Arabidopsis thaliana: one gene and its partners. The protein of the gene in region 2 interacts with the protein of the main gene of each other region in a biochemical or structural test. Each region holds a gene or a part of one and is shown on either strand. Other genes may lie near its edges. The genes, in order: PSB29, GP ALPHA 1 and RGS1.

Region 1 (9,736 bases), 2.2 Mb from region 2:
GAGACGGCCATAATCTTAAAAATCACTCAAAATCTGCCAACCATTCATGACCTTGATATCAAAATACATTCAAATGTATAGAAATACAAAATTCAATAGCACCTAGTAAATTTAAAAGTAAAGCTAAACATTCATGACCACTATAATTTTGGATCAAACAATGCAAACGCAGCACATGACCGAGTCCGCGTCAGAAAAAGGGGCCAACTGCTCCGTAGCCGCCAAGAATCTCGCAGGTGTGGAACTTTCCTCCTTTATTCGATGAATCTCTTTCTTCATTCTTCTTCTTCGAATTGTACGTTTATTGAAAGACAAGTATATTTTCTTATTTACTATATAAAGTAATTTCACTTTCTCAGATCCCGATTCCTCTTGATCATCGTCTTCTTCTACCAAAATTGTTGCGCGACAATGGAGAAATACAACAGTTTATCAGATTTTCTCAAGGAGTTCTACATCCCTACGTACGTCCTCTCGGCGGAAACAGAAGAGGAGGAGGAGGAGGAGAGTCGTCCTACACCTGCGAGCCCCGTCCTTGTCTTCATCAACTCCAAAAGCGGTGGTCAGTTGGGTGGCGAACTCATTCTCACCTACCGATCTCTTCTCAATCACAATCAGGTCTTTGATCTCGACCAGGAGACTCCAGATAAAGTGCTCCGCAGAATCTATCTTAACCTGGAGAGGCTCAAAGATGATGATTTCGCTCGTCAGATTCGGGAGAAATTAAAAATCATTGTAAGAGAATGTTGTTTTCTTTGTTTCTTTCTCTCCAATTGAATGAAACATCATCTAATGCCATCCATTATTATTAGGTTGCAGGAGGTGATGGCACTGCTGGGTGGCTCCTTGGAGTTGTATGTGACCTTAAATTGTCACATCCTCCTCCAATTGCCACTGTACCTTTGGGTACAGGAAACAACCTTCCCTTTGCTTTTGGATGGGTGTGTGTCTTACTTACTACTACACTCCTCCTCTCAATACACTTGCCTGCATATGTTTTATTATTATTATTAAGTGTATGTATCTCTCTACAGGGAAAGAAGAATCCAGGAACAGATAGGACTGCAGTGGAGTCGTTTTTGGAACAAGTGTTGAAGGCAAAAGTGATGAAGATTGACAAGTAATGTTTTACATATCTGTCTCCACAGTAGTTTTTATTAGTCTTTACTTTTGGTGAATAACTAACAGACGACTATCTATCTGCTGCTTCAAGTTGGCACATACTTATGAGGATGAAAACTCCCAAAGAAGGTGGTTCTTGTGATCCTGTTGCTCCTCTTGAGTTACCACATTCTCTACATGCATTTCACCGTGTTTCTCCAACTGATGAACTAAACAAGGTGATTTACCTTCTTCTTCCCATTATTATTATATAGCTGTGTCTCTTCCTTTTTTTTCTGTCTTATCTTATATAGAAACACACCCTTTATGTTTTTCAGGAAGGCTGCCACACTTTTCGAGGAGGGTTCTGGAATTACTTTAGCCTCGGTGAGATATTTTAGCTTCAATCTAACTTTGGATTTCCCACAAGTCATTAGCAAAGTTAGATTTCCCCTTAGGAGTTGGTTGATGAGCTAACTTATTGAGTTTCAATCTAGTTATTGCATTGTTTGTATTGAAATTAAATAAACGAAACCAGCTGATATCCTTGAAAGACAAATCTCCTTGAAAGTTCTTCTTTCTATTGTGCTTATGAAGGAATGGATGCTCAGATTTCTTATGCGTTTCATTCTGAGAGGAAGCTTCACCCTGAAAAGTTTAAGAATCAGCTGGTTAATCAGGTACCTTTTGAATTTGACCTTTTAGATTACACCTTCTCTTTTAATACCCCTTCACTGGGATTTATACTAAACAAAGAATAAATACTTTGCATTTTGCTTTACAATGCCAGAGTACGTATGTAAAGCTTGGTTGCACGCAAGGATGGTTTTGTGCCTCTCTTTTCCACCCTGCTTCACGGTGTGTAAGATGTAGACATACTTTTCGTTTCATTGTTTTCTGTTTCTGAGTCTCAGGTCCCCCTCAACTTCTCATTCTCATTCACTGTTTTTCTCTTTCTGAGATTCTTGGACATGAATGATTATAATGCTCTGCAACACTACTGCCTTATCTTTTGTCTTTAGTATACTGTTCTAGTGTCAGTAATTAGAAATTTGGTACCCATCATTATTTTCAGCATTTGTTCTTTTTACTGCTTGGGTCTCGTTGTGTGCTAAACAACATCAAATTTGAAATACTCTCCAACATCAATATCGAAACATGTAATCTTATGCTGGTTTTATATTCTCGGTTAAGTGGTTCACATTTCTTACATTTCCTGTCTTTTGGCTGTAATTTAATTTCTGTTTATATATGATTTTGCTCTCTATCACAATGTTAAGGAAAGCTCTATGGCTTCCAATGCAGGAATATAGCTCAGCTTGCCAAGGTTAAGATTGCAACTAGAAATGGCCAGTGGCAGGACCTCCACATACCACATAGGTAATTTTTATTAATCCTGAGGGATCCCATTGGACACAGTTCAGGATGGACATGTTGGATAGTCTTGGGATCTTTCTCTGTTTGTAACCTTTAACTATATATGGTTACATTTCAAATGTTACAAAGCAATGGTTACATGATCGAATATGAACTACTCCAATTCGGACATTTGTTTCTACTCTTGCAGCATCAGGTCCATTGTATGTCTGAATCTGCCCAGCTTTTCGGGAGGATTAAATCCTTGGGGCACACCAAATCCCAGGAAACAACGTGATGTAGGTTTTACGAACTCTTGACATTGCCTGAGTGCTACATAAGTTTCTGATATATCCTCGTTTGTGTATTTATCTTCGCCATGGTAAAATAATATGCATTTTTCTTTGTTGTGACACAAACAGAGAGGCTTGACTCCACCATTTGTAGATGATGGCCTCATTGAGGTTGTTGGGTTTAGAAATGCTTGGCATGGTCTTGTTCTGCTCGCTCCCAATGGACATGGGACACGACTTGCCCAGGTAAGAATTGTACAAGTTGGAAATGATAACGATACACACAAATAAAGATGTGATGATTGAGTGCATACAAATGATAACTTCTGTGATTAGGCAAATCGTATTCGCTTCGAATTTCACAAAGGTGCAACCGACCATACATTCATGAGGATGGATGGGGAGCCCTGGAAACAGCCACTGCCACTGGATGATGAAACTGTGATGGTAGAGATTTCACACCTTGGCCAAGTGAACATGCTTGCAACTCATGACTGCCGGTCCAGAAGTGTGTTTGACCCTTCAACACCCCGCCATCAGGATGGTGCAGAAGATTATGATGATAATGAAGACGACTCAGTGGCTGAAGGCGAAGAATTTAGAAAGTTTGGTGCTGCGGATACCTTCAAGATTCCTGATGAGGTTGATATTTCTCAACTTAGTTAGACAATTAACCATTTTCATTGTTGATTCTATGCATTCTTCCTCCGGACTCCAATTTTTTTATTCACTCTTTCATAAAGGAGCCAACTAGCAGCAACTGGTTTAGATTGGTAACCATCTTTTTTCTTTGCTTTTGTTTGGTTGTTCACGTTTAATGGCCGAGATAATGTATCTGGATTTATAGCAACACAGATTCTCGTTTAACGCACATGTACTGCAGCAGTTAGCAGGACAGTGCAGAGACGCCAAATGCGAAACTTTCAGATGTTGCAACTCCTAAACATAGAATCTGACCTTTTTTTTATAGGGAGAACACAGTAATAAAAAAGGAAGGGCTTCAAGGAGGAGAAATTCAAATGTTCATGGTTGGTCACATGTGCTCTGAAGACAGTGCCTAAATCTTAAAGAAACTTGTCATATACTAGTAACAGCACAACAGTAACCTCATCAATGTATAAAATACTACATGAATCAACATTATGTAAACTCATGTAATTGAAAGGAAAAAAAGCAAACATATACACGTCTGAAATGTTCTTAGAAATGAGATATATATGTTCTTGGGCATAGTTGTTGCTAAGAAAACAAAAAAAGAAGTCACAAATGATTTTCTAAGATTTCCGTTCAACCAAGAAAGATGGGTTATATAGAGTATCTCCCAGACACTTGGAGATTGTTTCGTTAGCCTTCTGAGATTGGGCTCTTTCTCCTTGCTTCTTCTTCTCCCTGAGTAACCAAAAGTATAAAGATCCAAGTTAGGCTCTATATAGAAGTTTCATGGTGCAGCAAGCACCGTATATTCATTCAAAAATAGACCAGTGCCTAGTCTATTTAGATAGGGATTCAGTATCAGTACCTCTCGACATACTCCTTAAGCAATTCCTTGGCTTGGACAAGCTTTGAAAGCAGGTTACGATACACATCCAGGTCCCGATCCACGCTTTTCTTGTTGATATTTAGGGATGCACAAAGCTGTTTCATGAGACACAAAGATCAAAATTACCGTGAGATGTCAGAGAGAATACAGTTGCACATTGCCAGTGAACATAATGGATACAAAACTAGCAACATTTCTTCTTCCTCTAAACACAAGATTAAGCTGTTAATATAGATTAGCAAACCGAAGACGAATAGAATCACCTTGTCCAAGACAGTTGGATCAGTAGCACTTGCAAGCTCAAGCAAACGAAAGAGCCCAACAGCGAAGAACCTGCTGTAACTAAACCCCTCCTTACTACCAGCTCTTCCTGCAATGTCCTTAAGAACTGCTTCAATATCTCCTTCTTTAGAGGAAAAGTCAACTAGTGAAGCAGAAGTCTGACTTCGTGCCCATTCCTCCATCTTCTGAGCATCAATTCTGTACAAAAAAAGTTATCATCTTTAGAAAAAGACATTCAACAAGAAGACATTCATTATCAAGGAGAAGATGGAAGCAGGAAGAAGCAAACCGGTATTGCTTAGGATCCTCATTCAAGGCTTCAATGTAAGCCTTAAAAATGGCATCTCGGTCTTGATCACTCGGATATCCTTCCATGAGCTGATCATATACAGTGACAAATCCAAGGGCAAAAACAGGATCATAACGATAAGTCTTCTTATACCTCATCAAATGCTGCTGGACAATGAGCTCCTGCAAAACCGTGTTGTAGATACTCGGGATGGGTCGCTTGTAAGCTTTTAGGAATTTCGACTTTGTCTCTGATACAGGAGGCACATCTGACCAACAAAACCACAAGAGAGTGAATGCAGATAAAGTCAGAGCCTTTTTCAATACAAAACAAAGGAGAATGAATTGTGAAATGCAATGTGAAGTTCAAGAAGAGTCACCGGCGGTAACATTGGACATGCAGTGAATAAGAGATTTCGAAGTGGAACGCGAATTCAAAGAAAGGCGAGAAAACTTTGTGCAGATGCGAATTGCGGAGGCGAGAGGACGAGAAGATGCGAAATTGGAGATCTTGTCCGATTGACCCAAAGCTGGGAAGGAAAGAGAAGAGATTGCAGTTGCAGCCATCGCTAAATTGAAGTGAGAAAGAGAGGAGAAGAAGAGTTGTTGTTGTTGCTATGTTTAATCAGAAGAGTTCTCAAGTAATAGCCATTGGAAGGATGATGATGGCTCTGGTTGGATCTTCTGAGTTTCGACTTTCGAGTGGCTTATCCAACTCCACGAGATGTCGGTAGTGTGACACGTGTCCCTTGTCTGTCCACGTTAGGATTAGGCCCATTTACTTTGGATTTTGCTAGAGCTCGGTCCATCTAATAAAAGCCCATAAATAAATGCAGCATATATCACATGTACATAATGTTGCTCTCTGTTTCATTATCAATTGTACAAACTACAAAGTCCGTTTATTCATGCTCAAGATTCATCAGAATTCAACTCGTTAGTACATTGATCGTTTCCAAAAATGTCTTACGTCGAATTAGACATATGTACTTAAATCTTATTTAGGTTTTGATCTTCTTCTTTTTTTCAGTTAAAAGGGTTATTGATCACTTCTCACTCTCTTTCTATGGAATAAGATGAACTGATGAAGTACAAACACCAAATACTTAAGTTTTATATGTGAAAATGATTGACCCCATTAGATTCATAGTCACCGATCAAGAAAAAAATGATGGTCGAAAATAGAATCTAAAATGTGGAAGATGACAAAAACTGTCTCCACCCAAAAAAAAAACACAAGCTAGATCAGTCATACAACTAAGCATATCTATATTCTAACAAAGGTCCTAAATTGTATCAGAAGAAGAGTTTTGTGTGGCGTCAAGATCGTCCTTATGGTTAGAAATGGGAAAGTGGTAATCATCCCATAGAGGGCTTCCAGGTCCCCATTCCTCTGGAATTGCATTGAACCATGCCTCAGCCCAACCCGTCTCCTCACTCACCCCTCCTACTGCCAATGCCGTGCTCGAATCATCCTCTCCTCTTCTGCTTGAGTCTTCACTAGTAGTCCCCGTCTCACATTGTTTCTGATGCACGGGAGTTGGCTCTTGTTTATTGAGAAAAAGTTCAGGGAAATTGAGCCTAGCGGTCTCTCCCCTCAACTTGAAGGCCTCGCGGTCGTAGGCCATGGCGGCTTCTTCTGCTGTATCGAATGTCCCTAGCCAGAGACGTGTCCTGTTTCGTGGCTTACGGATCTCGGCAACCCATTTTCCCCAGTGGCGTTGCCTGACACCTCTATATAGCTTGGTGGCGCTGAAGGGTTGAACCGGTGGCCTCGTCAGTGGCAGATCGCTTTCTTGTCTTAACATGTTCATCATCATCATTCTTCCGCTCGGACTCAGCTTCAGAATGTCTCTCCAGTACTGCAATAGATGTTGTTGTTGTTGCTGCTGTTGTGCAACATATGGTTGCACCTGTTGTTGAGGATCAAACGAGATCATTTGTTGCTGTCTTTGTCCTGAAGGGTCATTCGGGTGTAAAAATCGTTGTTGATTTTGAATCGCTGGAGGGAGGTAAAAGGGAAAAGAGACAGAGCATGTAGTTGTTGTTGGCGGCTGAGGAGTAGCATAAGAAGATACGAGATAGGGATTATGTCGGTCAAAGGTTCTAGTCTTCCTAAGACTTCTTGGAGACGTAGAGGAAGCATCTCCTAACCACATGTCCGAGCCAGGACCCGAATCTTTATACTTGCCGCTACTAAACTGGAACTCCTCCTCCAACTCCATCTCATCCTTTTTCTCTGCTTCACTGGTACCAAGGACCCTGATTGATTTTCCCTTGTTCTTAGCAGTAGCCATAGAGAAGAGGAGTCAACGACGATGTCCTCTTTTGTCTTTGAGAAAACAGAGCAAGAGCGGGAGAAACAGAGAGATTTGTTGTGTGGTTATGAAATATTTTCCCCACTTTTATATCAGAACCGGTGGGGCTTAACTAAGATGTTGACATATATCACTAAGCAAAATATCTCAAGCCCTCTCAGGACCGTACTTGTGTTTCTTTTGGACGGTGGAACATTCTTTATTTTTCTACTTAATTATTACAAATACATTGTTGATAGTATGCACATCGTTGATAGTATGGTCGGCTAACCGCGGCTAAGGATGACATGCAATGAGAATGAGATTGAAGCAATTGATTGCGACGTAACGTGTATTTTAATTAGGCTTGTTATCATCATCTCTCGAAGGTTAGCGATTTGTCGTCAAAGTCAGCTTTGACTTTGTTTTTTTTTCTCTTATTTTTCTGTATACCCCACCTACAAAAGACATAAACAAAACCGACCAAACTTGAAACACACAAATTAAAAAAAGCTTATATGATAGTATAAGTTATATCTCATCCAACTTAACGTATCAACTAACTCAATAGAAAAAGAATGTACCCTACCCATGTCAGTATCACCATACATTCATAATATATATAACTTCTTTTAGAATTTATTTAAATTTTGGATGGCTGTTTCGATACATAACCTTCTAATAAGAAGTGTAAAGGCAGGCGTAAAAAAAGATTCGACCTTAAAAAGTAATTAATTTCAAGTCACATGAATAATAATTAAAATGATGTAATAACAAAATAACGAAAACATCTAAATAATGCTAAATAATTATAAAACGCTAAAAATACATCGTTTTTAACTATATTTTTAATAAATGTATTCAGAAATATTAAATTATTTTTCCAATACGATAAAATTAGATAAATGTTATGGATTTTCTTATCATTCACAACAAGGAAAAACTCTTGGATGGTAAACTGAATGGACTTTCAAGGGTTGAAAAATGGAATGTTTTCTGAAGCAGACCGATTTTATACAAGCCCCTCAATTCGCATTAGTAAAACCGATGTCTCCTTGCATAATATGGATTCCAAATATGTTATAATGTCTATTGACATGAAGAACTTAGAAACCTTGGTACATATTAAGATGACGTGGACGCAAGGAGGTGCCAAGGTGGGAGGCTGAAGTCTTAAACTTTCGGCAGATAAAGATAAACAAACTCCAAAACAAAACAAAACAAAAAGAAAACAAAGACAAGGGAAAAGGTTCGTGTTAGAAGAAAAAGTCAACAGCTTAAAGCTTAAAAAGTCGGTGAATGAATGGGTCAGCTCTCTCCACTTTCATTATCTCTCTATGCTCTATCTCTCCAATCATAAAACTTGCTATTCCAATTAAACTTATACACTATCCATTAGTATTTTATGTAGTATTCTTATTAAGATATTTTAACGTGGTCCATCATTCTACTTAATAAGTTTTTCTCTTCTTTTAAATTTATTGGCAGCAGTTTGAGAAAACGATTAGATTGATTAAGAATGCAACGAATGTCAAATCCCAAACCATTATCTTATACCAGTTATATTATGAGTGCTTCATATTTATATATTAACTTGCCAAAGTTTTGAAGATTATACTATGAAGGCTACTCAAAGGGACATTGATTCCTAGAAGATGATTTTATGATGTTAAGCCGTTGACTTTGGTAACTAAATCATTTGACCTTTGATGTTTCTGCCCCCTTTAGCAAATAGAAACTTAATAAGAAAATTTTCATTGAAATTTAGCATCCCAAAGAAAGGTGTAGAAAAGTTATAGTGTAATGTGATTGGTGAGGTGCATGTTCGACACTCTTCAAATGTTGATTGAAACTTTTTTTTGTGTGCAAAGTTGATTGAAACTTTAATATTTTTTCATTAATCGCTTAAAGTGTAGTAGTGTCAAAATATTGAGATGTCAAGTATAGAACATACTATCATTTTCAAAACAATTGTGCAATTTCAGTATAATCAGTATTTAAATCATTAATAACCTCATGTGTAATTAACTCTATTATATTATCGATTTTAAAACACAAGCCCCAAGACAATGTCCCTCATTCTATCTCATCAAATGCTCAACTTTTTTTTTTTAGTAAGAACATTAATTGGGTGCATTAATGAAGGTCACAGAAAAGAAGGGTTATAGAGGGTAAATTAAAGGTGATTGCACACAAAAGTATGTCTTTCAGTTTTTCACAGAGGAAGCTCATGACACTCACCAAAGCAGCACGAATGAAGTTCAAGTTCTTAATTAGGCTTCACATACTCTACATCATCTCCTCAAAATTTATATCATTTCATATGTTCGATCTTGTTTTCATGTGACTCTCTCCTCTTCTCTACCGTGAGTCTCTTCAATTTCCTAACCCTTTGTTAACGATCATATATACCTTGTTTCTCGCCGTACTATTTCATCCCAAATTTTACTTTTACCACTTGCGATAATATATCATGAAGTCTCTTCTTCTCCTTGCCTTTTTCCTCTCTTTCTTCTTTGGCTCTCTCTTGGCTAGGCATTTACCAACATCCTCCCATCCAAGTATGTATCTATGCACAT
Region 2 (12,140 bases):
TCAACTTTCGCCTGAAAATGATCAATTTTTGTCTGAAATGGATCAATTTTCGTCTAAAAATCAATATTTATCTGAAAGGTATGATATTGTTTATACTCAAACACATGAATATAGATTATTCAACATACTAGATCTAATTTTGCTATATTTCTTGCAGTGATGAAGTGATTCAGGTACAAAAATATTTATTAAAAAAATTTGTGACGAAGATATTGTTTCCTTTTAGTAATTGTTTATTTAATATCATAATTATTGAAAATTTAGGATGATAATAAGGTCACCAAACTGAGAGAACTCAAGGAATTGTATGCTGAGAAGATGGTAATTTTGAGGTAACAAAAAAAAATACTAATGAAGATTCAATAAAATATTCTTATAAATTTTAACCAATATTTGTTTACTAACACAAGTATTTACTAATTTTAAAGGAACTGGGAAAGCCCGAATAAAGTTACAGATTTGCAAGGACTTAATATCATGGAAGAATATTTAGTCAATTCTCTCAACCATATCAAAAAAACCATAAAGGTGATTGCATATTAACATATAATAAATTAAATAAGATTTATTCTAAAAATTCAAATGTTATTGAAATTTTACAAAATTTTAATATCTTGTTTCAGATTAAGATCCAAGAAGAGCAACAAAACTCTTATTTCATTTAGAGATGGAGAGTTTATTTGTACTTAGCCGACTGAAGATCATAGGAAATCATGTTCTATTTTCTTCAAACGTTTCATATGTAATCATTAATTGAATTTGAAATTTTGTTTTATATTTTTTAATATTAAATGTTGGATCTCATTTCTTGTCAACCAGTTTCACAATTTGCATATTGGACAATCATAACGAACTAGAACATAAAAATCAAGACTATCTAATACAACTTAAGACATAACTTCCTCCAAGCTGCTTACAAAGTATTTTGATTGACAATATCTAGACATGACCGCGTAAATCTAACCCAATTGCCTTCTTCTAAAACTCAGAGGCAATTGGAAATCTAACAAGTAATTGATTTCAGCATCTCTTTATGATTCCCACCACTTTTCTACCAATCTCCTCCTTTGTCTGCTCTGACACCGGAACATCTCCAATGTACATACCAAAAAATGCTCCTGCAATGTACACAAATCTCAGAGCCCTTGGACTTTTAGTACGCAAACAAAAACGAGAAAACAAATAATTAGAATGAAGAACTAACTGCAAAGATCCTTGCTTCGGACAGCTCCAATCAGGTTACCACCAACTGCAAACGTTGGCCATGTTCAGGTCAGGTATACAATAAATTGCATAGAGAAGGAAGCTTCATAATTATTACTCACTCTCTGTGATTAGCTGTCCATCTTCTGTTCGCCGAAAGTCTATTATTGTTCCCTGCAAATGAGCCACTAAAATGAGTCATACTCCTTTTATGTATGTTTATATGTAAAGTGTGAGTGTAAGCATTAGCCATTATGTACCGCGGGTATTGGAATGTCTTGTCTAAAGAATGAACCAAAATCATTCAAACAATTGAAATCAGTTTTTGGATTTGCCTGCAATAAAAATGGAGAAGCGTATGATGTAGCAAAGCGTAATCCACAGTGCTTATCAGAGTACAAACTACACTCGGTGTATCATTTACCTTAACCAAGCGAGCACGCAGAGATTTCTCGAAAACACTGAAAACATAGACAAACAAGGGAAGGGATTAATTTGCCATCTATCAGTGTAATGCGCCTCAAATCATCAAATGGCAAGTAAATAGATTAAAATAAAAGAAACTAAAAGTGAGAATCAATTAAGGACCATAACACCTTCACGATTCATGAACATAGTTCAAAACAATACAAGATGTTCAATATGTAGCAACTTCCACTTACTCTCTCACAGTATTGATCTTCAAGCCATTGTAGTTAACCACAAGCCTCACACTCATAACAATATCCTCCCTGAAAAAAACTCAAATAAAAGACTTTCAGACGAAATGTCCAATCAAAGCTACACCAACTAAATCAGATTAGAGTGGACTTCAAACAAATAAAAGTGCACAATTCTAATAATATGAAAAAGATTGCTATAATACCTAAGAAGGTCTTTGTATAAGTCATCGCATTTGTCAAGTTTGCTTGCTGGAACCGAGGCATACTTTCGGCCAAGCTTCTGACAGACCGAGGAAGGGTGAACATCTAATCCAGAGAAGTTCAAGTTAGAAGCAAAAGATGACAAATTGTTCCATATATATAGAAAGATACAAAGCTAGAATGCACTTACAAAAACCAAATGCATATACTTTTAGAGATTTAATTCTGATAATTTTCATTGTCCGAGATCCCGTTGCAACAAGCACCTTAAATTATGATGAATTCAAAACGTATTAACTTTTCGAAATTTAAATCAAATCTCTTCTTTGGTGACTCTAACATAAGTTGTAATGACAAAGAATAACAAACTGAGGAAGAAAAAGCTATAAGAACCTCAGAATTCGATCGCGAAGCATTCTCCTTCAACAACATCGGGAACTCGATCCCCGTCCTAGGCTCCACTGATTGTCTTGTCCAGTCTAATTTTTGAAAACTCAAACCACTATATTCTTCACATCCCACCTGACAAGTCCTATGTTCAGTGTTCTCCGGACAAGTCCTATGTTCAATGTTCTCCCTAAGTTTAACATCATTACTCCCTAGTGGCAGAGCAAGTCCATTTGCAGACCTAATAAAATCTACAATCAGAAACTTCCCCAAAGAGAGTTTTAGCACTAAACAATATTACTAAACTTACATGACATTCAAAGACGGTATCATCGCAGCCGCCAAAGAGAGCAAAGAACACGAATGTAGCCTCTCAGCTTCATTAACAAAATGCTGAATAGTGGATTTAGATATGTTTCCAAAGAAGCCAGGACTAATATCTTTTGATACATAGTGAAATGGGAACACAGAGACGTTCCTATGTTCAAACACATGTTTTAAAGAATCACGGCTCTTACAAGTTAATCCCCATTGATGTTTAGATACTTCTTTTTGCAAGTTTCCATGTGAAAACCAACAAAGCAAAGCTCCTGTAAACTTAGAGATACAACTAAATGCTTCGAAAGCTAAGCTTCCAGGTATATGTAATTGTGAAAACAACTCATGTTGTAAGAAACTTCTCTTAGGTAAAACTGAATTAGGATCCATATTTGACATTTATAAGCTTTTGAATATAACTCCAATTGTACCAAAGATTCTGCAAGAAAAATCAAACAAAGACAAATTCTCAAATCAAAATCAATGGCTAACGAATCAAATCAAAGCTGAATCAACAACAACAATCACAAACAAGCCTTGATCTAAATGGTTCCCTAACAAAACCAATTTCGTGATCTTTGAGAGTTTCGTATTAATCAAACTAAGAAGCGATTGTTATCATTATCGTATAACAGAAAAAGCAAAATCAGAACACCATTGGAAGAAAGAGAGAACAACAACATACATGTTTCAGAGGATTGCTCGAAAACGGAATCAAAAACAGAGGAAGAAGAATCAATGAAGCTTTTTTTTTTTTTTGGGATCTATTAACGAAAGAGAAGAAGGAATATTCTTTGACGTAAGAAACAACAACGGCGAAGAGTTTTTTGCTTTCAGGGTTCTTCTTTCTTCGGTGCAATTATTTTTAAAGTCGCTTTTTCGAATGTTCTGAAATCACGGTAGACCCCATGTGTTTTACTTTTATTTCAGTTTTTACATCATATTTTGTATTTGTTCAGTTTCACCCCCATACTTTTTTTTAATGTAAGAACTTTTTCATGTTAGGAACATTCCAAAACTTTTTAGTACTGATAAAGTTACGTTTTGTGTTGTGTTTCACTTTCTAGATTTCGGGATGTGGATGCCTCATTTTAATAATAATATAACCCCAAAAACAAGATCAAAATGAGATGTTTTTGATGAGAAAAAAAAATAAGAAGTCAAAGACAGAGGAATGTTAACAAAAACAATGATAAAATAGAAACTAGTCGTAGCCATCGAGACACATTAGATTTTGAATCGCTAAGTCTTTTGTCCCGAAAGATAAATTACACGGTCATTCAGTTTTCGAGTTTTTCTTATAATAATAAGGAGAGGTAATTTACTAGAGATATGTAATAATAAGGTCATAAAAGGCCAGCCTCCAGTAAATTTCTCCTTCTTAGTGTCTCATCTACGAGCTTGAACGTTTTCTTTACAAGCTTCTGGTCCAAAGCCGTCGTCCTGTAGATTTTGAATACCCTGTCCACTCTATCCGGCGCCGTGTTCTGGTAATATAACTCCTCAAACTTCTTCTTCACAAACCTGAATCCAAATTAAAAATAAGGTCATATAACGGTAACAGTTTGGCGGGAATCAGTAAAGTTTGGAGACAAGCTTACTCGTATGCATGCTCAATCTCTTGTTTCCCACTTGAAACTGGTTGGTAATCTCTGAACCACTCGCAAACGTTCAACGGAACCTATGCACATTGAATAAGAAAGCGTTATTGAACAAAAAGACTTGCTTGCCTATCAAAACAAATAAATATGCTTTAGTTCTTCTTACGTCAAGAACTTTCTTCTCAAATATGTCGAACTTGTTCAAGAACAGCATGAAGGATGTTTTCTGCGTAAAGAGAACCAAGTTTTTGTAACCAAACCCATCTCAAGAGTGTCTTTAAATTTTTAAAAGATGAGATAAAAATGTAACTAAAAACCTCAAAACAGGGTTGTTTCAGGACCCAGTCGAATAATTCCTTGGTCTCCATCATCCTGTTTTTCTGCTCGTCCTCAAAGAGCGTTTGGTCGTACCTATGATCAAAACTCAGTTAATGTTTTGGCAATATGTGGACAGTACGAGGATATCTTATAATTTATAATGAAGTGAGCTTACTCGCTGATGGCAGCACAAAATATCACAGCTGTTACACCTTCAAACAGATGAATCCATTTCCTCCTCTCATTTCTCTGTCCACCCACGTCAAACAATCGGTACACTTCACCACTTTTTTTATTCTCTCCCACAGGGCTGCATAAACGAAGCTTTATCTCATATACCATTTGTGAATTCATCTTTGGTAACGGATCATTACAAGTAGATTCACCACAACAACAAGTTTGATATTGGTATGGAATTCATATGTTCTATTAGTACATCTTAGTGGCAATCATAGGAATCGAATCCGTAAACACTTTTATTCATTTCACCAAATAACTTACACATCGCAGAGAGACTACATTAACAAGATTGTTGCTGAGCTGTTAACACAGCTACTACAAACCGCCTAGCTAATCATATTGCCTAGTGAACCAGACTAACACTTAGAGCTTATCAAACAATTACTCATCTATGAAAGACTAACAATCAAACAGGAAAAAGGGTAAAACAAAAAGTAGTTGGTACCTGAACTGTATTTCCACGACACCAGTTGTGCGAACTCTTGCATAAAGTACATCCTCCTGAAACACCAACATAGAAAAAATGCACCAATGACAACACATTCCGGAAGACACATGTCACAGAAATTGCATATTGACTCTGGTCTCTGAAAATGCTAGCTCAACTAGGCTAATATGGAAAGCAAAAGGCTTCTGTTTGTTAATACATTGATCCTCCGAGGCTGATCCAATGAGTTTTATTCAACCATTTTAAGATCATTACTTGAAATGTTTTCAACAAAGAATGATACTTTGGTTATACCTTAGTTGGAATATAATTTATATCTGATAGTCTCTTCAAGTTCTCCATCAGATATTTCGTACAATCAGGAACCTGAAGCTCATTACCACGAGCACAAGTTTCCTACAAAATGAAACGTTTAAATCATGTATTCAACTTTGAGTGCAATAGTAAATAAAACGTGCACACACACACACAAACACACCTGAATTGCAGGATCCTTCCATAGTGTTTCTATTCCCTCAGCGATGTCCTTGGTAAGACGTGGATAGTCTAACCTACCACCAATCTCAGATAGTTTCTCCCCAATTGCCTGATATTACGATAATAAGTTGACTACCATAAGACAAGGTACTCACAAGACTCAAAACTCTAACAAAGACAGCTCAAGTGACCTATGAATCTAACCACTTACAATACTTTCAGAAGATAACATATATTTAGCAGAATCTGTTTCATTTTGAGCAAACTCCTTTGTTCCATCATGCAATAACTGTTCAACAATATAGAGTAGCTATTAAGCTACATGTACAATATACCAAGATCAACATATGAAAAAAATTTGATTACTCATATAAATGATTCTCTAGATTGTAAATCCAAAAGAACTCGAAAACACCGCCAATTAGAAGGATAAAACCGACACAGTCATTTCAAGTATTGCATACTTTTATAGTCTGATAGACATTGGCATGAATGACTGGAACATAGCTCTTTAGTTCTCCTTCATCAAATCCCGTTTGGAATAGAAGTTTTATCTGCAAATTAGTAAATTTGTATCATTCAATTAGCAGGATTCATAAGTAAATTTAAGTAAAGAGTACAATCAATTTTCCTTGTGGACTTGCCTGCTTAAAAATTGTAGATTTTCCAGATTCCCCAGCACCTTTACAAAACACAAGTCAGAAAATTAGAGGAAAACTATTACCAAAAGATTCATCAAGGCATGCCATTCACATTTCTAATCCAAGGTCTACATACCAAGTAGCAAAAGCTTCCGAATATGCTTTTCAGCCTTTGCTTCTTGCTCTATCCGTCTTTCGATTTCAGCAGCCTGTAGATTAATACAAACCAAGTTAACTCTTGAAGTATCAGAAATAATGCTCCCATACATCGAGTGTTACAAGAGCTCTTAAGTCAACCTGTGTATTCTCATCAGTATCTTCAGTATGATGTCGACTTCTACTGCAGAGTAAGCCCATGATTGTTTCTATATCCCCACAGGTAATAACATAGAAGTCGAAAACTATCAAGATTCAAGCTCCACAGCTAAAAACAAATACTTGAGCTTCCAGCTACAGTTGCTTCTCATAACAAGACAATGCCTACACCTACTTATGAAACAATCAATACTTTAGCTCAAAATTCATAAATATACATAAAGTTTCACTCACCAAAATAGCAAACATGTTCAAAGAATGCAAGTAAGAAAAAGCATTAAACTTTATAATATATACTGGATTAGTACCTCTCAAATGAAACAAGTTCAGTAGTTAAGAAAATGAGCTCTAAAAGTCGAGTAGCTAACACCATTAAGAAATTCAAAAACTGTGAGATAGCAAATCAAGTAATAGATAGAGTTCACACTTGAACTGCTATAATCAGATCCAAAGAATCATAATTTTCATTTCCAATCTACAGTAACGACGAACTGATCTACAAAACCCTAAACTTGAAAAACAAAACCAATTCGAAACGAAACAGAAAAACAACAGAACAAGGAGGAGAACTAGGACAAGATCTGAGTAATAAAAAACAAAACTTTCATAAAACCCAAAAGAGTAAATTTGGGGTAAGAAGAAAAGTAAAGTAGAATTCACCTGAAGAAGAAAAAGAAATGGAGTCAAAGGTAGTGAAGAAGATATCGGAGTTCGCAAACAAGAAGAAGAAGAAGAAGAAGAAAGTACAAAACAAGGTCTGAGAAGAGAGCAGAAGAAGAAGAAGTAGTACTTCTGCTTCTCCTGTTTCTATTATTGTTTTACCACTTTCTTTCCGCTTTAATGTTTTTGCTTCACTCTTTTGGATTTATTCTCTCCTTTTTATTATAAATACATAAAATGCAAATTATGAATTTAATTAAAAATAAAATAAAAATGGATATATTTTTAATATTTGGTCAAAAAGAAAGAAAGAAAATGTTAAGCAAAGGGGAAGACGAAATTACGCCGAAAGGTCCTGAGAGAGAGAGAGAGAGAGTGGTCAAATGTTGAAAAAAGATGTGCCTCTCGTGACGATAAAGAAGATTAATTACGGAACCTATATGCATTTTTATTTTATATACTATTAAGTTAACCATTATTGGAAGAGAATTACTAAGTGTGGCAAGACAAAACAAATTTGGAATTTTATGACATCAAGTCCTTGTATCGAAATATCTTGATTTTTGCTTTGCAGTTGCATTACAAGCTGGACTCTACTTATATCTAGAATGGGTTTTGCTAGCTTAGGAAATATATTGCAGTTTTGATTTAGGAAAGAAAATAAAGATTCAAAATCGATAAAAACACAACATATCATATAGTACTTTAAATCTTCAACCTACAAAAACATCACATCCGTTAAATCCTTACAATCATTAACATCGACTTGAACTTCTCACAAAATGTTTCCACTGAGAAACGGTCTTGGCGAGTGATGGTATATTTATTGGTTGGGCTTAAATATATTTCAGATGCAAAACCATATTGAATCAATAAATTATAAATACATAGCTTCCCTAACCACTTAAACCACCAGCTACAAAACCAATAAACCCGATCAATCATTATGTTTTCATAGGATTTCCTGAACATACATTAAATTATTTTTCATTTTCTTGGTGCTCTTTTCTGTCTTATTCACGTTTTAATGGACATAATCGGTTTCATATTGTAAATCTCTTTAACCTAACGAACAATTTAATGACCCTAGTAATAGGATAAGAAGGTCGTGAAAAATGAACGAGAAAAAACCCACCAAAACACTATATAAGAAAGACCGAAAAAGTAAAAAGGGTGAGCCATAAACCAAAAACCTTACCAGATGTTGTCAAAGAACAAAAATCATCATCCATGATTAACCTACGCTTCACTACTAAGACAAGGCGATTGTGTCCCGGTTGAAAAGGTTGTAAAACAGTTTGAGGATGCTACAAAAGTGGATGTTAAGTATGAAGCGGCTAAGGTTTTGGATTTGGTCTAGGAGCACATTGGTTAAGCAATATCTTCGGTGGAGATTGAGTTTTTAGAGATAGTAGATACTAATTCATCTATGGAGACATGCAAATTCATCAAAATGCTTGGATGAATTAGAAAAACTAGGTGGAGAATACAGTAAAAAAATTCAAAAAGTGCATATTGTTTGGACAACATTAATATGTACAAATAGTTTACATTTAAATGTATTATTTTACTAATTAAGTACATATAAAGTTGCTAAACTAAACTAATATAATTTTTGCATAAGTAAATTTATCGTTAAAAGTTTTCTTTCTAGCCACTAAACAACAATACAAAATCGCCCAAGTCACCCATTAATTAATTTAGAAGTGAAAAACAAAATCTTAATTATATGGACGATCTTGTCTACCATATTTCAAGGGCTACAGGCCTACAGCCGCCGAATAAATCTTACCAGCCTTAAACCAGAACAACGGCAAATAAGTTCATGTGGCGGCTGGTGATGATTCACAATTTCCCCGACAGTTCTATGATAATGAAACTATATAATTATTGTACGTACATACATGCATGCGACGAACAACACTTCAATTTAATTGTTAGTATTAAATTACATTTATAGTGAAGTATGTTGGGACGATTAGACGGATACAATGCACTTATGTTCTCCGGAAAATGAATCATTTGTGTTCAGAGCATGACTCCAAGAGTCAAAAAAGTTATTAAATTTATTTGAATTTAAAACTTAAAAATAGTGTAATTTTTAACCACCCGCTGCCGCAAACGTTGGCGGAAGAATACGCGGTGTTAAACAATTTTTGTGATCGTTGTCAAACATTTGTAACCGCAATCTCTACTGCACAATCTGTTACGTTTACAATTTACAAGTTAGTATAGAAGAACGTTCGTACCTGAAGACCAACCGACCTTTAGTTATTGAATAAATGATTATTTAGTTAAGAGTAACAAAATCAATGGTTCAAATTTGTTTCTCTTCCTTACTTCTTAAATTTTAATCATGGAAGAAACAAAGTCAACGGACATCCAATTATGGCCTAATCATCTCATTCTCCTTTCAACAAGGCGAATCAAATCTTCTTTATACGTAATATTTATTTGCCAGCCTGAAATGTATACCAAATCATTTTTAAATTAATTGCCTAAATTATTAGAACAAAAACTATTAGTAAATAACTAATTAGTCTTATGAAACTAGAAATCGAGATAGTGGAATATAGAGAGACACCATTAAATTCACAAAATCATTTTTAAATTACCTAAATTATTACAACAAAAACTATTAGACAGAACTAAGTCTATAATGAAACGAGAGATCGTATTTGGAATGTAGAGCGAGAGACAATTTTCAATTCATTGAATATATAAGCAAAATTATATAGCCCGTAGACTTTGGTGAGATGAAGTCTAAGTACAAACAACTGAATGAATTTATAATCAATAATATTGATTATATTGTGATTAGAAAAAGAAAACAACTTGCGTTATTTTTCAATATTATTGTGAGGATTAATGTGAACATGGAATCGTGTTTCTCCTGAAAAAAATATCAGCATAGAGCTTAGAACAATATAAATATATCCACCAAAAATAACTTCAACATTTTTATACAACTAATACAAAAAAAAAAAAGCAAACTTTTTGTATATATAAATAAATTTGAAAACTCAAAGGTCGGTCAGTACGAATAAGACACAACAACTACTATAAATTAGAGGACTTTGAAGACAAGTAGGTTAACTAGAACATCCTTAATTTCTAAACCTACGCACTCTACAAAAGATTCATCAAAAGGAGTAAAAGACTAACTTTCTCCATTTTTTCCCCAAATAACACAAAAGAAGAAGTTGAAAATGGCAGTGTTCAAGAAGAAGAAAACATCATTGACATCTCTGTTCTTGGGGTGTTACAAGGCAAAGAACGCAAGCAAATACGAAGGAGGGGAGAAGGCTGTAATGAAAATAAGAACTTGTCCAGCGTTCAAGAGGCTGTCTTTATCGGACATAAGCGATCCAAGCTCGCCCATGTCGGTTATGGATGATCTCTCTCACTCCTTCACATCGCAGAAGCTTCGTTTGTTCACGTTGTCTGAGCTGAGAGTGATTACGCATAATTTCTCTAGAAGTAACATGTTGGGGGAAGGAGGGTTTGGGCCGGTTTACAAAGGGTTTATTGATGATAAGGTTAAACCGGGTATCGAAGCCCAACCGGTTGCTGTAAAGGCTCTTGATCTTCATGGCCATCAAGGCCATAGAGAATGGCTGGTAACATTTCTTTCTCTTTATGTATGTTTTTGTCTACATTCAAGACTTTTCTATTCACAAGGAACAATTTAATTACGAAGACCGTCTCGATTATTTTATATATTTTTTGAATTTTGGTTTATCTTCTTAATTAGCTATATGAATCTGGCCATTTTTCAGTATGTTATTAAATATATATATCTTTTGTGAAATTTCTTCATAAAGTTTTTTTTTTCAGTGTATACAAAATTTATTTTTGTTTGCAGGCGGAGATATTATTTTTGGGACAACTAAGTAACAAACATCTTGTGAAGCTGATAGGGTTTTGTTGTGAAGAAGAGCAAAGAGTTCTTGTTTATGAGTACATGCCTCGAGGTAGCTTGGAGAATCAGCTCTTTCGAAGTACGTCATCTACTATATTTTTACCTAACTTGCTAAAAGTTGTTTCAATTTTTGCTATATATGTTCTAGACCGCGTTACAAAACATTTTTTCTGTTTAAACCTAAAAGAACAACTCCACGAAGACTTTAATTACGTTTTAGTTATAGAATGACAAGAATAAAAAATATTGAAGAAAAGAATCCATATGGTTCACGTTAACTTCGTCAAGTTCTTACTTTATTTATGGGTCGTACACTACATTAATAACTTCTTAAAAAACTATATATTTTTTATAATTTAGATAATATTCAATAGTATTACTAACTTTGAAAAGTGTGTGAATTGGGACAGGAAATAGCTTAGCAATGGCTTGGGGAATAAGGATGAAGATAGCTCTCGGAGCCGCCAAAGGTTTAGCTTTTCTCCATGAAGCAGAGAAACCTGTCATCTACAGAGACTTTAAAACCTCTAACATATTGTTAGACTCCGTGAGTTTTTTTTTCCTTTTTAAATTTTGTATCCACTATTAAATCAAATTAAAGTGGTATTTCTCAACTGACTCTTTGATATTTCAGGACTATAACGCCAAATTATCTGACTTCGGTCTAGCCAAAGATGGACCTGAAGGCGAACATACGCATGTAACTACCCGAGTGATGGGAACACAAGGTTATGCTGCGCCCGAATA
Region 3 (11,141 bases), on a different chromosome or scaffold from region 2:
AGGATGGATGGTGACCGAGACTAGCGGATTCGCCGCAGCCAAACGAGTAAACATCACCATCGTCTGAGACCACAAAAGTAGTGTAGTCTCCTGTTGCGACATGAACTGCTTTGACATGGCTTAGACCTTCAACAACCTTAGGGACTGATTCACACTCCTCGTTACCGTGACCTAAACATCCATATCTTCCCCAACCCCAAGTGCACACTCTTCCATCCTGACCTACCACCGCGGCATGCCAAGCACCCGCTGCAACTACCCTAGGTTGAAGATTCAATATCTGAAACTGCTCGATGACCCGAGGATACTTCTCATCTGTTCTTGACCCATGACCAAGTTTGCCTCCCAAACCGCAACCAACTGAGTAAACAGACCTAAAATAAGCATGCTACAGAGTCAGTGCTGCTGTTGGACATTTGCATAGTGTTCTATTGCACATGACCCATAGAAACATAGCAAAAAATTTAGGATCCAAATTATTTTTGTCAAAAGAGTTTAACCATACAAATATGACTACATTTGTTGTAACCTATAATATTGTTGAACTGGTCTAAAGTAGAAAAGAAAGTGTAAAAAAGGAACTCACATGCCATTTGGTTGACAGGCTAAGGCAAGAAGGTAGCAATAACCAGCAGCAATCTGCACAACGGGTACATTCTCGAGTGGGCCTAACAAAGGACGAGGCTCGACATCCGCAGCCTCAGTTTGGTGTCCTAGTCTACCGTCATTGCCCCACGAGAATGTATAAACCTTTCCTTCTCGGGAGAGAACAGCGGTAAAGTAATTCCCAATAGCTGCTTGCACTACAAATATGTTTTTTAAAGATGTTACAAGCTGAGGAGTTGTAACTGGTTTAGTCCCTTGCCCTCCGTATTCAGCTTCCCCGAAGGATTCTTTTCCACACGCATAAACTTTTCCGTCATCGCTTATTAGCATTGTCCGAGCAGCACCAGCAGCTGCTTGGATGATTCGAACTCCCTGCAATGATCTGCACAGCACGATAACAAACTCCATCAAGCCAAGAGCATATATTTTCTTCTCTTTTCAGATCTTGATGATGATGGAAAATGACCTAACAGGTTGAATTCGAGCTTCGTCCTCGGTATGACCATGTCCTAGCTGTCCAGAGTTATTATATCCGAAAGTATAAACTTCTCCTTTCGATGTGACTGCTACACTATGACCAGGACCAGCAACAGCTTGAGATTTCTCTCTTCGACAACACGCTTCACCAGCCAGCAAAAACCGAAGGACTAATTTCCATGATCCTCCGCACCTACGTTTCATCTCTTGACGTTCTTCTTCATTCATCGGCTTGAAAATCACCCTTTTATTACACATGTCGAGAGCAGCGAGCTCCGATAGTGATAGGTTAATGTCCGGGGCAAAGTTTGCTGGCTGGCTAAAGAACGAGCATGTTGCCTAAAACAACAACAACAACAACAACAATCAAATCAGCAGAACAATCAATCCTCGAAAATTTCAGTAAAACATTTCCGACATTTTCGAAACAAAACCTCGAGATTAGCGAGGTCACGAGGATCCAATCTACATTCAGTGAGAACATGTAGGACAATGGAAGGGTTAGCTGCTAAAGGAAACTCTCCTGGAGTTGTGTCACCAAAGCAATGTCGTTTTGGCCTCTGAAATGGTGACACAGGAGGAGAAGTAGTCGAAACAGATTGTTCCGGCAAGTTAATATACTGTAAACTCGGAGTTCCACTCGTAGCATCCATTTTTGAAACAGATTATCTACAAAACCACAAATTAAGACAAGAAAGTCACACTCTGATTAGCCTGAAATATGAGAAAACAAACAGAACAAGATCCCCAAAAACTTACCTGCAAATTCTCTAGTCTCTAGTATTGTTCAACAAGTTCTAAGCTTTTTGATCTACATAAGAAACAGAAACTAAGTAAGGTTCCAAATCATAATCAATTGTTATAAACAGAAACTAGAAAAGGTGAAACCTTTTGACTAATGAAGAACAGAGAAAGAATCTGTGAATCAATCAAATCAAATCAACCAAGAATGAAAGAAGAAAACTTGGAAGAGAAGTGTAGGAATCAACAATGAATTATTCTATAAAGATGAAAAAGGAATCTTAAAGAAAGATTGGATCTGATACGGAAGATAATAAGAAAACAGTTTGTCACACGCAAAGGACTACTCCTTCTCCTCTGCACACGGAAACTCAAAACTTTTGACCTTACCATGATCACAACAGAAAACCCAGAAATCAATTTTGATTGACCAAACAAACACATCAGAGAGATCAATCCATTTGGGGAAATGTTAGTAACTAATACTACAGTTTGATCATTACCCAGATTCACAATCAGAGACAAAATCATAGAAAATTCAACAGAGACTTGAGATGGATAAAAATGATTACTTGTTAAGAAAAAAGATGAGATTTTTGAAAACCCATCTGCATCAAACCATCATCATCATCAATTCAATCATCATCAACAACAAGAATTCGAACATCAGAATCTACAGACAAGCTATAGTGAGTTTCTTTGGTTGTGTTCTTGTGTCTGATCAGAGAAGCATAGAAGATGAAAACGAACGATCGAAGAATGTTTTGTTAGAGAATTAATTGACTGTGAAGAAAGCAAGCAAGCGAATTTCACAATTTGATCAGAAAAAAGGAACTTTTTTTTAATATAATTTTGGTCCTGGGAAAGTCTGCAAATTTGGCGTTGATAGAAGTGAATGAAGAAGAAAGAAAGTTGTGGTGTCTCTTTATGCGGACTTATAAAGCGATCAGATCTCTTTCTCAGTAAATAACATAACAAATTATAAGAAAATTTGTGATTATATGTCACATATATGTTTGATTGTAATGGAATATAACATCATGATGATCAATACATGTATGCATGTGTTATGTGTGTATATAGACGTGTGCATCCAAAACTTGGTTTGAGTGGTAGAACAAGTTATCTATCTATCTATCCAACGGATCTTTATAGTAGTTTATTAATATCTGCTAATAATTTGATTATATTACTCATGAGTCCTTACATAGTTATCCACTATGATGACATCCTCATTCTTTTTCATGTTTATAAGGAGTATTATTTTCACCGAAAATAGAAGTAAATTTTGTTAAATTCATTTTAGTGAGAGTTTTCATGTCTAGATGTTATAGAGTTTTCATTTTAGTTTGAGTTTTAAACAAAGATAGAATGAAGATATTAAGATTGAGATATAAGAATGAAAAGGAAATAACATTATCACAACTAATTTGTAGCATTTTCGAAAATTTATTCATAATAGTCTTGGAACAGAAAATAGATGTAATTACTATTTAGAGAATTCCCCATAAGCTAAACAATTTAACCAAAAAAATATATTGAAATTAACTAATTTGGTGAAAGATAAACTGATAAAGATTCCTTTTAGTTTTATAAACTATCTTGGAGAGAACATCGACAACACCCAATAATTGCTACCCATATATATACCAAAACCATATGGTAGACAGCCAAAAATAAAATAAAAAAAACTTCTTTGGGAAATAATATTTATTTATGGTGAGATGAGAACCACTAATATTTGGGAAAGATTCACCATAATAATGAAACATTAATTTAAACTTTTTTTTCATTCGCTGACAAGACTTCTTACCTACACATATAAGTTTTATTTTTTGAACATTTAATTTTTATATGTTAACAGCAGAATAAATCTGGCTAAGTTACTGAATTTAGGGTTTAATTGACATTTCTTGCAGAATTTTACTGAATAATTTAGAGCTTAAATGGTAACAGATGATTTTTTTTTTTAAAAACTTACCTAAAGACATTTTATTGCTGCTCAACAATATTTAATTTTATATTTTATAGATATTTAAAACTTTTAATATCATTTAATCATATGATAAACCTAAAAAATTCTTCAACTTTCTCTTTTCAGTAACAAATTATATTCTAAAATTGAAATATTTGATGACCATCCCACCTTCTCGTTATAGATGTTGTACACGTCAAAATATAGTGGTGGAAAAAAACATTATGTCAAAATGTTGATGAAAAGCCTTAGCGAGGCCAATGGATATGTCATCACATCATGAAACATGTGATGCAACATCATCACTCTGCAAGGACATGAAGATCAATCTGCAGGTGCTTTTTTATTCTTGGTGAAACAGATGGCATATACGTATAAATTCTTCGAGATATTAATTAGTATGGTTCCATAGTTTTTGTCCGGTATACACATTTAAAACTAAACCAAAATCCGAACCGGACATTTTCTCTTACAGTTAGGTATAACAAGAGAGAAAATGACATGTACAAGAAATGTGAAGGAAGATTACATGGATTGGATTGCTATGAACATTGGTTTGGGTTCTGGTCTAGTACCAGTTTTAGACTCCTTAACCGGGACTACTGCATCTGGAACTCTTTGACATATGTTCTTGATAGAAAGGATCATCAGAGCCTTGAACTGAACTCAGTCTTGGAGATGAAAAACTGTATCCTTCCTTATGCATTGCCTCGTGGCAGCTTTCTTCTTCTTTGAACTTGATGAAGTAGATGGATGACCAGTAATCTCTTACCAAGTTCTTCAAATTCATGAGCACAAAAAAATGAGAATCAAGAGAATAGCTTGAAGGCGTGCGTAAGAGAGTGAAAGAGAGATGTTATTTTACCATCTTGATCAATTGCATGACTTCGTTTAATGCGTTCTTGAAGAGATCAGTGTGAGTTAGATCTTGAGTGGTTAAGATCTCTTGTCGGGTTTTATGAGATAAGTTCAATTCCATTTCCGCTCCTGTGTTTTAAGGAATTACTAGTTAGATTTATAGAGAGAACACACGAGACAGGTCTATAAAGAAGAGGGAAGATGGATATGTAATTAACCTGCGACGATGAACTTCTCCATGATATGTCGAGCCATGTAGATTCTTCTTATCGAATCATCTTCCGGGATTTTACCATGTTCATACACCTCTTCAAAAAAATGCAATGTTTCTCCAGCGTAGCAGCTACCAGCATATAACGAATTAGTTTAAATAAATGGTGAAACCGGGATATATATGAGGTCAGGTATTGAATGGAGTACCTATCAGCAAATTCCATAAACGAATGGCGAAATCTTTTATTGAGAAGAAGCTTATCGAGTGGCTCGTTTGGGTCAACAGGTCGAAACTCCTCCTTCCGAAATAATAATCCGCTATCGGGAATGCCTAGAGCTTGACCCATTCTTTGAAACTCAAAGTTTTGTCTTTTCTTCAAGCTGATTTGTGAAAGAAGAGGTTGGTTACTCGAGATGGAAAAGAAGACAACGACGAGAATCCCACCCTGAAAGAAGAATCAACTCAGAAGTCTGTTAAAAAGGTATTCCAACTGCAAATATAAAGAACAGTCCTGGTATTAGCTTTCATACCGTGACTAAAAGCACAAATCTTGAAGCAACCTGAAGCCAAGAGATTTCTTCATGAATCTCATTCAACACAAACGCTGTTACCCATATAACGATTGAAGTGGCTGAGACGAGAATTCCTTTCCAGAGATCTCTAAGCTCGTCAAAACGAAACTCTACATGTCGAACTGCTCTTGTGAATGCAATTAAAGCAAGGACATAGAGAGCATGAAGGCCTGCAACTGGGAAAGTCCATTGAAGACCCATGTGGCATTTATCGTTGAGAGGCTTTGTTGCGTGGATAACTAAATGCAAAATCAAAAGCTTTGAGTTATTATTATCCAAAACAAGAGAAACCAAGAACTGCTCAGTACATATAACGTTCAGAACAATTCTTACTTGCAGCTCCGAAGATCCATGGCAACAAAACAAGGGGGAGGAAAATGTATGATTTTACCGGAGGTAGACGTTTCCTACATTGCAAAGAATATGTAACAACCAAACAGCATTAAACTCAATTACACCAATAGAGATAGAATTGGAATCCAAAAACATTTTGATCAACATTGAACCTCACTTGACAAATATGAAGTATAGTTGAAATGCCTGAGTTATACGGCAGCTCATCAACAAACCAAACCCAAGTGGTCCTTCAATCCACACTGAAACCAAATTATACAAGACTTATTGATATAACTGTCAATTTGTTTACGAAGATGAGGAATCATGGTTTCCAAACAAACCTGCCCAAAGATAGCAATATCGCCACCAATGTTTCGTCCTGAATCGAAGCAAATTAACTGACATCTGAAAATTAAATATAAAACAGTCTATTAGTGTAGAAACTCAACAAATGAAGTGATTCTTAAGAGCAACGGAATCATCAAGTCAAGTAGTCTAACCATAATTGAGAAGAGAAGGTTGAAGCTGGAGATAACTTGAATAACAGGGATCCAGAAACTGCTACTGTTAGTACGAGGAGCCTTATGAATCAAACACGGTAACACTGAGCGCGATAACAGCCTAAATAAACAAAGTGAAATCCATCAGATAGAATCAACTTAATAGAGAAATTGAACTACTTGGAAGTTAACTCATGATACAAATCCACTCAATTAGTCCATTAAATCAAGCTTTTGAACTTCAAATCTAAGTTCAATAATCGATTCCGACATAATATATGAATCTTGCTATCAAGATACTGAAACCATCTAATTCCCAGCTAAAAGAAACTGAAACGAAACAAAAGACAGATCTTTTGATACATAACATCAAACACTTACAATACAAAGAGTTAAAATAGCAAAGAGAGACATCGTATGAAAATTTTAAACGATTAAAGACACAAAATTCGAGATTTTGACTCAAGTCAAGAGTCAACAAGCAAACCCAGTAAATGAAAAATCTAGATCTTCAAAACTAAAACCCAAAAATGGGATTTTTAAGCTCGAACACATACACGAAGAAGCAGATGACTGAAATTGCGACGGCGACGTAATCGCTGGGACAACCACCATGTAGAGCACATCCACTCGCCATTTCTATTGTAGCATATCAGCTCTCTCTTCTCCACTCGCTTTCTGGGTTTTTGAGATTTTATTTGGTTTCAAAGCTTGTTGCTTTAATGTCAAGGTAAAGTGTGCAAATTTCTATAAATTCAATAAAAGAAACTTCATTTATCGATGTTGAAACAAAAAGCTTTAAAAGATTCACACTTTCGCATAAGAGAAGAGACGTCTCTGTCTCTTCATTGTTCACGTTTCTCTCTTCTTCTCTGACTTTTTTGACCAGAAGACACTTCCTTTTTCCGGTAACAATTCTGATTGGTTTTTCACTTTTCACTTCTATAATTATAGATTTTTCATACTTGTCCTTTGTGACAAGTTGGTACATTAAAATTACAATAACCACCCTCTATTATAGATTTTTGACATAACCACCCTATACTATTGAGAGATTTCACAAACCCACCCATTAAAATTGTATACTTTTTTAATTCAACCCTGTTGTAAATTTTGTTTATTTCACTCCAATGACTTGATCTTGGAACTATATCGCCACAACAGACCTCCCACCAAATTGTTGAGTGCGTGCGAGGCCATTGGAACGATAAGACTCGACGACAAAACAGCTGCATAACCGTAGACTATACCGACAATCGAAGCCCTGAAAATTTCAAGAAACCGCAAAGAATTCAATAGGAAAACCTCGGAAATGTGATAGAGAGATGCAAGAACATGTTAAAGGCAATCATCTAATATCAAGATTCGGTCTACGCAATTCTCATCAGCATTGAGGTACCAAAATGTTCAGTAAAAACGGCTTACCAAACTGCAAAAGAATACTTTCTTCCGCTCCCGAGATGAAGTAAACCGAAAATGAGGCCAACCGCTACAATACCATTCCAATTAGTTCCGAACAAAGGCATTAATGCACCTCTAAACAGCAGCTCCTGTGAATACACCAAATCAAACCAATGAACGACATTTTCTAAAGGAGAGCCTTTCTGTGTTTTATTGTGATTGTTTATTGTTACCTCACTTATTCCCGGTAACATTGCAACAACAAGGTAATCTAGAGGTTCGAGGGAAGTGAGAATCTGCAAGTAGTGAATACCAAAGGAGACAATAAGCGGAGTTTAAAGAATCGTATAAATGTATATAATGTGTAATGTTTTGACCTGTCGGTTTGCTGCTTCACTAGAATCAGCAAAATCTGGCCAAGATTTAAGTAGCAAGAACCTACTTGACGATATAAACACAACGATTCCAGCAATTAAACCGAGATGCCAAGTTTCAAACCCAACTGCAAGAAAGATCATGCAATACAAAACATGTTTTGGTTACTGAATCTCTCAAAGGATTCTTAGTACACAACATAATCGTTTTCCGAGATGTTACATGGTACATCTATAGAGCAGTCTGGAACCAGTAATCCTTCAGTCGAAGCAACATGAGACGCCTGCAAGCGGTAACCAAATCAGCAAGATACAAATGCTAGAATCACAAAATCATAAACTTTCAGATTTGGGATTCACCTTTCTGATGATCAGACCTAGTGCAGCCATCAAACCGGAAGTTACAGTGCAAGCCTGAAGCACTTTGTCTCGAGGAGCAGCAACAAAAACATCAATGGAGTCCTTTGAAGTTGAAGAATCAACTTGAGCTTCCTCAAATCTTGGAGAAGAAACTTCTTCATCTGTAACATTTCTTAAGCCTATGTCTTTACCTTGTTGTGACTCTCTTTTGAGTTTCTTAAGTGATTTACGACTTGAAGAGGCTCTTACATCAAACTTAAAACCCAAAAGACAAAATAAACAGACTATAGTATAAGAGATCATCTGTTCGGACCAAGAAGCGGCAACATTAAAGAATCTTACTTGTACTCTTCGAGCATCATATAGCTTAGGGTTCGAGCCAACTGATCATCAAGTAAGCAAATTTCAACCAAAAATCTTTGTCGAATTCTCATATATATGATCATATCAAGTTAGGAATCGCACTTACCTACCTGGACGAAAAAGGAGATGAAGAGAAGTTGAAGCTCCTCTGCTCCAAGATTGCAGAGCGATGGAACCCATCCGAGATTTTCGCCTGCCTTCTCAAAGTTTGTCGCTTTGATTCATAAGAGAGACTCTGTTTCCAATATAAAACAAATGAAGAGTTTCACGAAGAAGAAAGCGTCGAAATGAGAGGTCTGTGTCTCGCCAGCTTCATACGGCGTCGTTTATCAGAGAAAACGCACCAAGAAAGAAGAAGAAATGAAACCAAATTTTTATTGTAACATATTTCAAAAGAAGAGGACATGAGTCCTTTTCTGATTTTCTGTACCGAATTCAAAGTTTAGAGCTTTTTTAATCTAATGTGGTGCAATGTCGATCAAAACAAGTTGAATCATTGACAAAAGCTAGTCTCTTTTTATTCTCTCTTATTAGATTTTTACATACATGATGAATAGAGAGACAGAACAAGCGATTTTAAGTATGTATGATAGCTCGAAACTATTTTTTTCGATAGATCAGAGAGGGATTCGATAAGTGGGATCAAACATCTTCAATATAAACAACAAGTTGCCTTTGCCCCTTGATATCCTGTAAAAAATGAACATTGTTTCAAGATTCAAATGTTTTTGGTTGTCAGTTCCATAGAGAAATGAAAAACTATCATTCACTACTGACCGTAGTTCCTCGTCCACATAGGTAATCTCTAGTTCACCGCGTGCAGTACCATCAGGTGCTTTTACCGGAATCTGCACACAGCAAACACTAATGATCAGTAAAAGAAGCATATGGTGTATGTATGAGTCAGTACTACCAGTTTCCCTTATAACAGCAAGAGTTTTGGTAATACTTACAAAGCCGAGAATTTTAAACACTTGAAGTTTCACAGCAACCGTCTTCGAGTTGAGGGGTGTCAAGTCTCCAGTTACCTATGAAAACATTGTAGTTTGCTAAGTCTCATTTTACAAACTCTGCTGAAAGAATATTGATGATAAAAACTTTGGTATTAGTCCTCCTTTGTTCTTGCCTAGTGAGTCACAATGGAACATGATCATACATATATGTGACAAAGTCTCAAACTTTCGTACATTTTGAATATTATATAGCAATGGATCACATCAATAGGTTTCAACATCACAGAGAAAAGAGCTTTGTATATGGTCTAACACAACGCAAAATCGCAAAACCTACTTGTGAAAATGGTACAAAAAGAGAATTCAGTCGCGGTTTGAAATATTACCGAGTTATAGAAAGGCCAAGTCTCCATTCTTTGCACCTTTAGTGTATCCATATTGATACATTGGTAGTTAGTTAACGATCTTAAGAACCTTGGTTTCTGTTACATTCTCAAGGAGACAGAGAAAATTACACAACAAGCCAAAAACAAACAACAACACAAGTTTCAAAGATTACAAGTTCTAACCTTTGCTTGCAAAATCGCAGCAGATGTTGTGTAAATGAGCTCCCATTTCCCATTGATCAAATCAGACTTCAGAGGCTCCTTGGTTGGGTTTACTGCTTCCACCTTACGTGCTAACTATCATGATTCAAAACAAACACCACTCAGATTAGTCTCTCAATCACATTCTCTATACCCTAGTGTACCAAAACTATTCTCAATGGTTCCCACATGAAGAGAAATCAAGAACCTGATCAATCAGAAGCTGATCATCAGGCGAGGCAGTGGCACCACGTTCAAGAGGCTCAATGGCTTCGACAAGTTCATGTTTGAGCTGTTTCCGCTTCTCGGCTCCACCGTTTCTTGGAGGAAAGCTGAAAACAGCTTGGATTCTCAATCTTTCCCGATCACCTTTTCGAATACTCAGTAACTTCGTCGGAACGGCGAAGCCACTGTCCGATGGATGATTAAATCCGGCGGCCGGAGACGTTAAAACTCCAGTCTTTAAGCACCAAGGTAAAGCCATGGATATCAAAACAGGACAAAGCTTTTCCAATGGAGTTTTAAAGAGTGGCTGGGTCGTTTCTGAGAGACTCTGTTCGAAGATAGACACATAAGAGAGGAAAAAGAGAGAGATCGTAGCTCTGTCTTCGCCATGACCGACAACAACATCACACACACCACCGAAAGTCACAAAGATAAGGTTTTTTTGCTCTCTTTTCTTCTAAAACGAGAGGCCCTAGTTGTTTCTGACTCATTACGGCGTCGAAAACGTATGTGGAAAAGTAGATCTTTGCTATTTTCTTCAAATTGTCAAAAAGGCTCTACCTTTCTTCCTGTTTCGACGGAACCAACCAACTCTGACC

What was found.
Region 1: the proteins of GP ALPHA 1 (region 2) and PSB29 form a complex in vitro, tested with the Arabidopsis thaliana proteins (one study listed by BioGRID).
Region 3: the proteins of GP ALPHA 1 (region 2) and RGS1 form a complex in vitro, tested with the Arabidopsis thaliana proteins (one study listed by BioGRID).

Annotation. Positions count from the first base shown.
Region 1 is NC_003071.7:8,983,474-8,993,209, reverse strand, and holds PSB29 (photosystem II reaction center PSB29 protein), read right to left. Parts: upstream 5,627-9,736; 5' UTR 5,428-5,626; coding exon 5,241-5,427; intron 5,130-5,240; coding exon 4,862-5,129; intron 4,771-4,861; coding exon 4,554-4,770; exon of another isoform or gene 4,386-4,553; coding exon 4,270-4,385; intron 4,140-4,269; coding exon 4,025-4,139; 3' UTR 3,799-4,024; downstream 1-3,798. Other genes in the region: DGK5 (diacylglycerol kinase 5), read left to right, coding at 412-735, 813-941, 1,035-1,120, 1,214-1,340, 1,440-1,488, 1,699-1,781, 1,892-1,959, 2,407-2,481 and 4 more; ERF53 (Integrase-type DNA-binding superfamily protein), read right to left, coding at 6,147-7,157; EPF1 (epidermal patterning factor 1), read left to right, coding at 9,631-9,718. UniProt on the Arabidopsis thaliana protein: Involved in a dynamic process of vesicle-mediated thylakoid membrane biogenesis. Required for the normal organization of vesicles into mature thylakoid stacks and ultimately for leaf development.
Region 2 is NC_003071.7:11,192,800-11,204,939, reverse strand, and holds GP ALPHA 1 (G protein alpha subunit 1), read right to left. Parts: upstream 7,945-12,140; 5' UTR 7,472-7,944; exon of another isoform or gene 7,120-7,471; intron 6,983-7,119; 5' UTR 6,854-6,982; coding exon 6,794-6,853; intron 6,706-6,793; coding exon 6,633-6,705; intron 6,538-6,632; coding exon 6,500-6,537; intron 6,410-6,499; coding exon 6,320-6,409; intron 6,145-6,319; coding exon 6,067-6,144; intron 5,965-6,066; coding exon 5,857-5,964; intron 5,775-5,856; coding exon 5,673-5,774; intron 5,432-5,672; coding exon 5,376-5,431; intron 5,001-5,375; coding exon 4,866-5,000; intron 4,784-4,865; coding exon 4,690-4,783; intron 4,599-4,689; coding exon 4,539-4,598; intron 4,453-4,538; coding exon 4,373-4,452; intron 4,296-4,372; coding exon 4,118-4,295; 3' UTR 3,838-4,117; downstream 1-3,837. Other genes in the region: FAP2 (Chalcone-flavanone isomerase family protein), read right to left, coding at 1,021-1,118, 1,205-1,249, 1,326-1,377, 1,464-1,538, 1,628-1,664, 1,866-1,934, 2,069-2,171, 2,257-2,332 and 2 more; ARSK1 (root-specific kinase 1), read left to right, coding at 10,681-11,091, 11,337-11,472, 11,804-11,940, 12,028-12,140. UniProt on the Arabidopsis thaliana protein: Exhibits a fast rate of basal nucleotide exchange. Guanine nucleotide-binding proteins (G proteins) are involved as modulators or transducers in various transmembrane signaling systems.
Region 3 is NC_003074.8:9,528,658-9,539,798, reverse strand, and holds RGS1 (REGULATOR OF G-PROTEIN SIGNALING 1), read right to left. Parts: upstream 7,187-11,141; 5' UTR 6,917-7,186; coding exon 6,837-6,916; intron 6,401-6,836; coding exon 6,280-6,400; intron 6,185-6,279; coding exon 6,121-6,184; intron 6,040-6,120; coding exon 5,955-6,039; intron 5,851-5,954; coding exon 5,777-5,850; intron 5,683-5,776; coding exon 5,402-5,682; intron 5,317-5,401; coding exon 5,078-5,316; intron 5,001-5,077; coding exon 4,876-5,000; intron 4,787-4,875; coding exon 4,665-4,786; coding exon of another isoform or gene 4,656-4,664; exon of another isoform or gene 4,640-4,655; intron 4,578-4,639; coding exon 4,389-4,577; 3' UTR 4,170-4,388; downstream 1-4,169. Other genes in the region: AT3G26100 (Regulator of chromosome condensation (RCC1) family protein), read right to left, coding at 1-374, 587-988, 1,073-1,422, 1,518-1,736; AT3G26085 (CAAX amino terminal protease family protein), read right to left, coding at 7,402-7,543, 7,705-7,829, 7,914-7,976, 8,058-8,182, 8,278-8,338, 8,415-8,797, 8,888-8,957; AT3G26080 (plastid-lipid associated protein PAP / fibrillin family protein), read right to left, coding at 9,395-9,625, 9,731-9,805, 10,117-10,212, 10,300-10,413, 10,526-10,801.